2 linked regions of the Rattus norvegicus genome follow. The protein of the gene in region 1 interacts with the protein of each later gene in a biochemical or structural test. Links are inferred from orthologs where the notes say so. Each region holds a gene or a part of one and is shown on either strand. Other genes may lie near its edges.

Region 1 (3,911 bases):
CCAGCCGGCTCATGGCCAAGGTTCGATTCTCCCGAAGGCGGCGAGCCAATGTGGGATCGGTGAGTGCGGGGTCAACGCCTGTGTGGGGAAACAGGGTCAGAGCAGTCAGTCCCAATCCTAGAAGGGATTAGAGCTGCCTCTGTTCCACCTGAAATCATCCCAGGAGCTTCCTACCTGGCCTATAGTCATCTGTGAGGTGGCAGCCAAAGTTATAGATGAGATCCAGGTGGCGGCGCTCCTGTAACCTGACACCCACATCCCGGAAGGCATCCTGAGCCAGGAGCTGAAGCTGCTGTCTGGGAAGGCCCAGACTGTGCCGGGTCGCCGCCTTCTCCACCGCTCTCAGCACATCTCCATAGTCCGGAAACGTGTCAGGCCCCGGCTTGTTGATGAGCCGCTCGATGCGCCTGTTGACCTCTGGGTATCGAGTGCCTCGGTAAGGAATTCGCTGCTCTATGACCCTCCCAGTCAGAGAAGAGCAGTCCTTCAACTCGCACAGCCGCCCAAAGAGGCGGATCAGTTTCCGCTTCAAGCGGGCCTCCTGCAAATAGGAGGAGTCGGGATCATCCAGTTCTGACAGATCCAACTCCTTTTCCTGCAGCCGCTGTATCTCTGCGACATACAGTGCCAGCAGCTGCTCCAAGCGCTGGATCTGCCTCCGGGAGCCTCGAGTCCTTGAGGCCTCAGAGGCAGTGGTTTCGGTGTTTGTAAGGTCAGACGGGGGATCTGTGGGAGGGTTATCACCCGATGATTCCGCTGAGGCTGCGGGAGCTAAGTTCAACTTCTTCTTGATGGAATGAGCTTTAAGGACAGTGCAGAGCTCGTTAATGTAGACGTAGAGCTTCGCTGGCCGGTTCCGAGACCGAGACAGAACCCTGGAGAGGATGTTGCGGAACTCTGCAGAGGCCAGAAAAGCGGACTGAGCACGCTGCTGCAGTTTGTGGAGGAACGGAACCACCTCAGGGTGGTCCGATGTCTGCATCTTACACAGTTCAAGGAACTAAACGGTTCGGGGGAAGGGACGGGAAAACCAAAAAACCAAAAAAAAAAAAAAAAGAGGGAATCAGTGAGGAAGCCAGAACAATCAGCCAATCAAACACCCCTTTCCTTGGGATCTGCCCAATCACATCATAATGGTTCACATCCTTTTCTTTTTTTCTTTTTTTTTTTTTTTGGTTCTTTTTTTCGGAGCTGGGGACCGAACCCAGGGCCTTGCGCTTCCTAGGCAAGCACTCTACCACTGAGCTAAATCCCCAACCCCCACATCCTTTTCTTAAAAAGATGTATTCTATATATGAGTACACTGTAGCTGTCTTCAGACGCCAGAAGAGGGCATCAGATCCCATTACAGATGGTTGTGAGCTACTATGTGGTTTCTGGGATTTGAACTCGATACCTCTAGAAGGGTAGTCAGTGCTCTTAACCACTGAGCTGTCTCTCCAGCCCAGTGATTCACATCTTGAATCCCAGCTGTCAGGAGGCAAAGGCAAGTAGAACTCTGTGAGTTCAAGGCCAGCCTCATCTAGACAGTTCCAGGCAACCAGGGCCACAAAGCGAGACCCTTCTCTTAAAGGAAAGGGAGCCTTCCCTGAAGCTTACCTCTTCAAACAGCTTCTCATTCTCCAACTTGTAGCACTTCCTGCTACCTGAGTTACTGCTCCCTCCATCCCCATGGGACTCAGAGGGACCAGAGGCTTCTGGTCCTGGTGAGACAGGATTAGAGGCTGGGTTGGAGGGTCCTGGCTGAGCAGCTGCTTCATCTTCATCATCATCGTCAAGCACAATGATGCTGTCATCGGTGGCCATGGGGGATCAAATCCCCCTGAGGGAAAAAGTATTTGAAAGGTCAGAATTCTGGAAGGGAAAGGGTGACTCAGGAAAAGCCCCTCCTCCTTAGTCCCACTCAGTCAGATACCTCAGGGTTCACAATAGCCTCGTCCTTTCTGAGATGTCTTCAAAGCCTGTCTTTTGCAACTATCAGTCTCAGGCAGTTCTGAAGGGGAACCTCCCCATCGATCGTCTCAAGTCCCAAATTTCAGCCCCCAGTCAATTTCCTGTCTTTCGGTTGCGTTTTCCCCACTCTCTTGTCAGCTGGTGAGTTTTTTCTTCCTACTCCCAATCCGATGGGGTATAAGATCCCACACTGCTCTCTCCGTCTACAGAAACCAACACCCAGTCGATACCACCACATGGGTTTGCCCACCTCTCGCCCTCCATCATCACAGTCCCCTCCGACTTCTTCCTAACTCCAACTCTTCCACTCCGAGGTTAAAGGGTTTCCCTCTGAAGAGCCTGGTGTCCTTCCCGCTCCTACAACCATCTCCATGTTCCACCTTCCACAAACCCGGACTTCAGGCTGGAGATTTTTCACCTCCAGTCCCCTCCCTCTCACCGCACCCAGGTTTTCCCCATTCTCTGTGACTCGTAACCGACAGCAAGCCCACCACTCAGCATTCCCAATGTCTGGGCTTCCAGCCCCAGGCGAGGACAGTCTCCAGCCTCAGCTTCCCGCCAAGTAACCCTCTCCGCGTTCAGCCCTAGGCCGCCACATTCCCCTTCAGGGCTAGCAAGGTACCATACAAGCTCGCCCCTCAGACTCCGCAGCCAGGCCGTGCGGATCCTTCGCCTTCGCCAACTCCTGCGCCGCCACCCCGGCTCCACGAACGACCTGGCCCCCACCTCAGAAACGGTCTCTCGAGGCTCCCCTCAGCGCGGATCACAAATCCTCGCAAAGTTCCCTCCGCCTTCCTTTCCCCCACCCCCACCTCAGGCCCTACAACAGACCGGAAGGCGCGGAGTTTCCGCCTGCAGCACCTGAGGGCGGCCATATTGCTGTACGGGACCTAGGCTTCTTGGGACCGGAAGTGACGCGTGGCCCGCCCACCTAGGCCGCCGCTCCGGGTGCACTGACACTCAGGGGGGCGGGGCCTGGGACCAGGTAGATGGGGCGCGCCACGTTGCCGTACGGCACCAGCCAGCTCCGCGAGGCGTGGAGCTCTTTGCACCAGGAGCTTGCCAAAGCCACTCGGCCAATCAGAAACTTCCTGCCCCAGACCTGCCCTCCCACCCCACGCCATCGGCTGGAGGGCGGGGAAGACCTTCCCATCCTTCCATCCGAGCAGGTACCTAAGGAGCTGGTGTGTCTATGGCTGTGTAGGGCTCCAGGGAAGGAAATAAAGGATTTTCTTTTCCTGTTGGTGTAAGCCTGGCACTCCCTACTTTGCTTTCCCTCCGACCAAGAGTTCCACCGCCTGGTTGCCTATGCTTGCCCTTCCCTTTAAGAGCCGGCGTGCACTTGGAGGCTGTCCAGCCCGGGCCTCCTGGGTCAGGTGCACACACACGCACACGCACATATGCATGCATACAAATGAGCACAGCATGCTGCCCGAGTGAGGTATTGTTATTATTGCGGTCCGCGAGACTGGATGCTCAATCTGCACCACAGACCGAGCTCCCTACTGGGAACCGTGGCCCCTGTTCCACCGAGGGTCGTCTTGACTGTATGGAAGGCAGTGCTTCCGGGCAGGGGTCTGCAGGGCGTTGAGGCGGAGCGCGGGATAACCTGGTGCGGGCTTGGTGAGAAGCCCTGCAAGCTGCCGCTGGGAGCGCTGGGAAACGAATCGAGGCTCATAAAATCACGCGGGGTGTCTTCCTTCTCCTGGAGAGCTGCGGAGAAAAGGAAGAGGGGAAAACAACTGTGTGATGCCGGCCGGGCCCGGGGTGGAGAGGCGAGGCCCTCAGGTGTGCTGACGAGGAAGCCTGATAAGTCAACACCCTTCGCGCGGAGACTGCATCAACGCGGTCTTCCTGCCTCAGGTGGCGGGCATCTTACCAATGTGCAGGACCAAGAAAAGCCCAGCTGCTCTCGGGGCTGGGGATTTAGCTCAGTGGTAGAGCACTTGCCTAGCAAG
Region 2 (3,811 bases), on another chromosome or scaffold:
GCCGTGATGGCTTCAGGATGGATGGGTTTGGTACAGGACCAAAATCAAGTTCCAAGCCAGACCACCCCCCCCCCAAAAAAAAAAAAAAAAGAAAAGAAAAAGAAAAAGCCTTGGGCTTTTCCAGGGCTTTGAGTCCATGCTGGCCTGTCTTCTAGGATGAGGCTGTGGAGCGGGAGACACCTGATCTTTCCCAAGCTGAGACTGAGCAGAAAATCAAGGATTACAATGGCCAGATCAACAGCAACCTCTTCATGAGCCTGGTGAGTTGTCTGCTTAGGAGTGTGGGGGAACAGGAGCCCAGCCTTGTGCCAGAGGTCCAGAGAGTCCGAGCCACGTATTTGTGGGTGGACCCAAGCAGCAGTCTATGCATACCTGTCTTTGCACTGCCCCAGGTGGACTCAGCCTACCTCAGCCATCTCCAGTAGAACTTCCTGACACGTGGCGTGGTTCTTTCTCTCTTTCTAGAATAAGGATGGCTCCTACACCGGCTTCATCAAGGTTCAGCTGAAACTGGTACGCCCTGTTTCAGTGCCTTCCAGCAAGAAACCGCCTTCCTTGCAGGATGCCCGGAGGGGCACGGGGCGGAGCTCAGCTGTGAAGCGCCGCACCTCTTTTTACTTGCCTAAGGATGCTGTTAAGCATCTGCACGTTCTGTCACGAACACGCGCGCGTGAGGTCATTGAGGCCCTGCTTCGAAAATTCATGGTAGTAGATGATCCTCGCAAGTTTGCACTCTTTGAACGAACTGAACGCCATGGCCAAAGTAGGTTTCCAGTCTTAAGTCTCCCTATGTAAGGGGGTATATACCACATATCTGTGCACTAAGGGGCTGAGGCATCAGGTTCTGCCTCTAACTGTTTATTCCCTCCACCCCCCCAACCCCGTCTGACCTCTAGTATACTTCCGGAAACTGTCAGATGAGGAGCAGCCCTTGAAGCTACGGCTTCTTGCAGGGCCCAGTGAAAAAGCCCTGAGCTTTGTCCTGAAGGAGAATGACTCTGGGGAGGTGAATGTGAGTACATAGCCTTTCTTACTCTTTTTTATCACTAGACAAAGCTAGTGGGGCATAGCTATGGTGGGAATTTCAGGAGAAACTGGCCTAGAGGCCAAACCCTGCACAGCTTCTCCAAGACTATGCAGGTCCTCAAGTGGAAGTCTAGAGCCCAAGCAAGGTCTAGAGCCCATCCCAAGAAACTAGAAGAAGCTGAGTCTAGTGAGTTGTTCATGTTCTAATCACTGTACTTGGGAGGCTGAGACTGGAGGATTGCTGTGAGTTTGGGATCAGTCTGAGCTACAAAAAAAAAAACAAAACAAACAAAAACTAAACAACAATAACAACAAAAAACACACAAGCTAGGAAGAATTGCCTTAGGACTTTGTTGTTTCCTGATGTTGAAAAACTACTCCAAGGGTTGGGGATTTAGCTCAGTGGTAGAGCGCTTGCCTAGCAAGCACAAGGCCCTGGGTTCGGTCCTCAGCTCCAAAAAAAAAAAAAAAAGAAAAGAAAAAGAAAAACTACTCCAAAGATTGAGGACTTGACCAACTCATGCTGAGCCAAGACAAGTTCAGAGCTACGTATTATGTGGGCTCAGAGACGCCTCCACAGTTAGGAGTGCTTGCTGCTTTTCCCAAGGACCATGTCCAGCAGCTCCCAAAGGATTTGACTTCCTCTGCTGGCCTCAGAGGGTACCTGTACTTATGTGCATGTAACCCCACTCTAACACACACACACCTAGAACAGTAGGGCAAGAACGATGACTCAGTGGTTAAAAGCACTCGTCGTTCATGCAGAGGACCTGGATTTGGTTCTTAGCACCCATGTAGAAGCTTACAACTGTCCATAATTCCAGACCATGCACACAGTGCACATATCTGCCTGCAGACAAAACACTTATCCACATAAAACAGTTTTTAAAAAAGACTTTGTGTATGATTCTTTTGCCTGTATGTATATATTTGTATATAGGTGTACACATGCCCAGAGGAGTCAGAAAAAGGTGTTGGCTCCCCTGGAACAGAGTTACAGATGATTGGAACCCACCATGTTGGTGCTGGAAATTGAACTCTGGTTCTCTGTAAGAGCAACCAATGTTCTTAACCATTGAACTGTCTCTCAAGCCCCTAAAACAAATGAACAAAGTTTCACAGGTATAACCTGGAAAACATAAAGGCCTCTTTGAAGCATTGGACAGACGTTTTAGCAGCACAGGCCTGTAATCTCATCTACTGGGGAAACTAAAGCAGAAGAATTGCCTAGAGTTCAAGACCAACAAACAAACAAGACATTCTTCCTAGCAAGGCCTAGTGACATACACTCTCCTTTAATCTCAACTACTTGGAATGCAGGAAGATCACTAGTTCAAAGCCTCCCTGGGCTACAGAGTGACTTAAGGCCAGTCCAGGTTAACTGAATGAGATCCTGTCTCAAACATAAAAGGCCTGGGGCTATAGTTCAGTGGTCAAGTACTCAGCATGCTTATCCCTTGGTTCATGTCTTAGTTAGGTTTTCTGTTGCTCTGATAAAACACCAAGACCAGAAAGTAAGTTGGGGGATTTGTCTTACACTTCCATATCATAGTCCATCATTGAAGGAAGTCAGGGCAGGAACTCAAACAGGACAGGAACCTGAAGGTAGGAGCTGAAGGAGGAGGCCATGGTGTGTGCTGCTTACTGACTTGCTCAGCCTGCTTCCTTATAGAACCCATGGCCACCAGCCCAGGGGTGGTACCTCCCCTATCAGTCACTCAGAAAATGCCTTACAGCCAGATCTTATGGTCGCATTTTTTTTTTCAACTAAGATTCCCAACTTTCAGATAACTTTAGCTCGTGTCAAGCTGACAGAAAACTAGACAGCACAGTGCAATTGCCAGTAATGCAAAAAATAAAAAATTTTTACCAAGGGGTTAGCTGTGGCGGTGGCGCAGTAGGGAGAATGGACGCTCAGCATCCACAAGGCTGGGCAGCAAAGATAAAGAAAATGTAGGGCGGGTGAGGGGGCTGTCTGGGAATGTAGCTTAGTGGGAAAGAAATGTAAAAGGTAACTGCTAACATTTATGACACCTTAGGTGTGAGTCATAGCCCATTGTATTGAGAGACAGACAGACAGACAGAGGATATGTGAGAGAGTGCACCTGACAACAGATAGAGATATTTCTCTACAAGGCAACTGTTTTCTCTGCAGACTGCTCACGAGGATCCTAGCACAGACTCTTTAGTCAAGAGCCTAACATCTAGCCTAGCGTAGTGATAAGTACTTGTAATCCAAGCATTCAGGAAGCAGAACAGGAGAATCACAAGTTTGAGACTAACCTGGCTACATAACAAGTTCAAGGCCAGCCTCTTATATGTGGAAAGACCATGACTCAAAAAACAACAAAAAAATAAGGGGCTTAAAGAGTTGGCTCAGGAGGGCTGGGGAGATGGGTCAGTGGTTAAGAGTACTGGCTGCTCTTCCGAAGGACATGGGCTCAATACCTGGGGTTCAGTTCACAGCTATCTGTAATTCCATTTCCAAGGGATCTGATACCCTCACATAGACATACATGCAGGCAGAACACCAATGTACATAAATTATAAAACCTTTAAACAACAACAAAAAGAGTTGGCTTAGTGGTTAAGAGTACATGTCGCTCTTATAGAGGACCTGGATTTGATTCCCAGCACCCAGAGGGCACTCACAACCATGTGTAACTCTTAACTCCAGGGGATCTGATACCTTCTTCTGACCTCTGTGTGGACATGCATACATGTGATACATGACAAAACACATGAGATAGTAACAAAACGAGGAGGGATGCAGAAGAAGGGACTG

The links.
Region 2: the proteins of Daxx (region 1) and Rassf1 form a complex in vitro, tested with the Homo sapiens proteins (4 studies listed by BioGRID and IntAct, with this or other methods). The link is inferred for Rattus norvegicus from reciprocal best matches to the Homo sapiens genes DAXX and RASSF1.

What each region holds. Positions count from the first base shown.
Region 1 is NC_086038.1:4,974,962-4,978,872, forward strand, and holds the start of Daxx (death domain-associated protein 6), read right to left. Parts: upstream 2,760-3,911; 5' UTR 2,680-2,759; exon of another isoform or gene 2,576-2,679; intron 2,157-2,575; exon of another isoform or gene 1,916-2,156; intron 1,823-1,915; 5' UTR 1,807-1,822; coding exon 1,600-1,806; intron 1,001-1,599; coding exon 175-1,000; intron 79-174; coding exon 1-78. UniProt on the Homo sapiens protein: Transcription corepressor known to repress transcriptional potential of several sumoylated transcription factors. Down-regulates basal and activated transcription.
Region 2 is NC_086026.1:117,110,007-117,113,817, forward strand, and holds part of Rassf1 (ras association domain-containing protein 1), read left to right. Parts: intron 1-155; coding exon 156-260; intron 261-465; coding exon 466-763; intron 764-896; coding exon 897-1,012; intron 1,013-3,811. UniProt on the Homo sapiens protein: Potential tumor suppressor. Required for death receptor-dependent apoptosis. Mediates activation of STK3/MST2 and STK4/MST1 during Fas-induced apoptosis by preventing their dephosphorylation.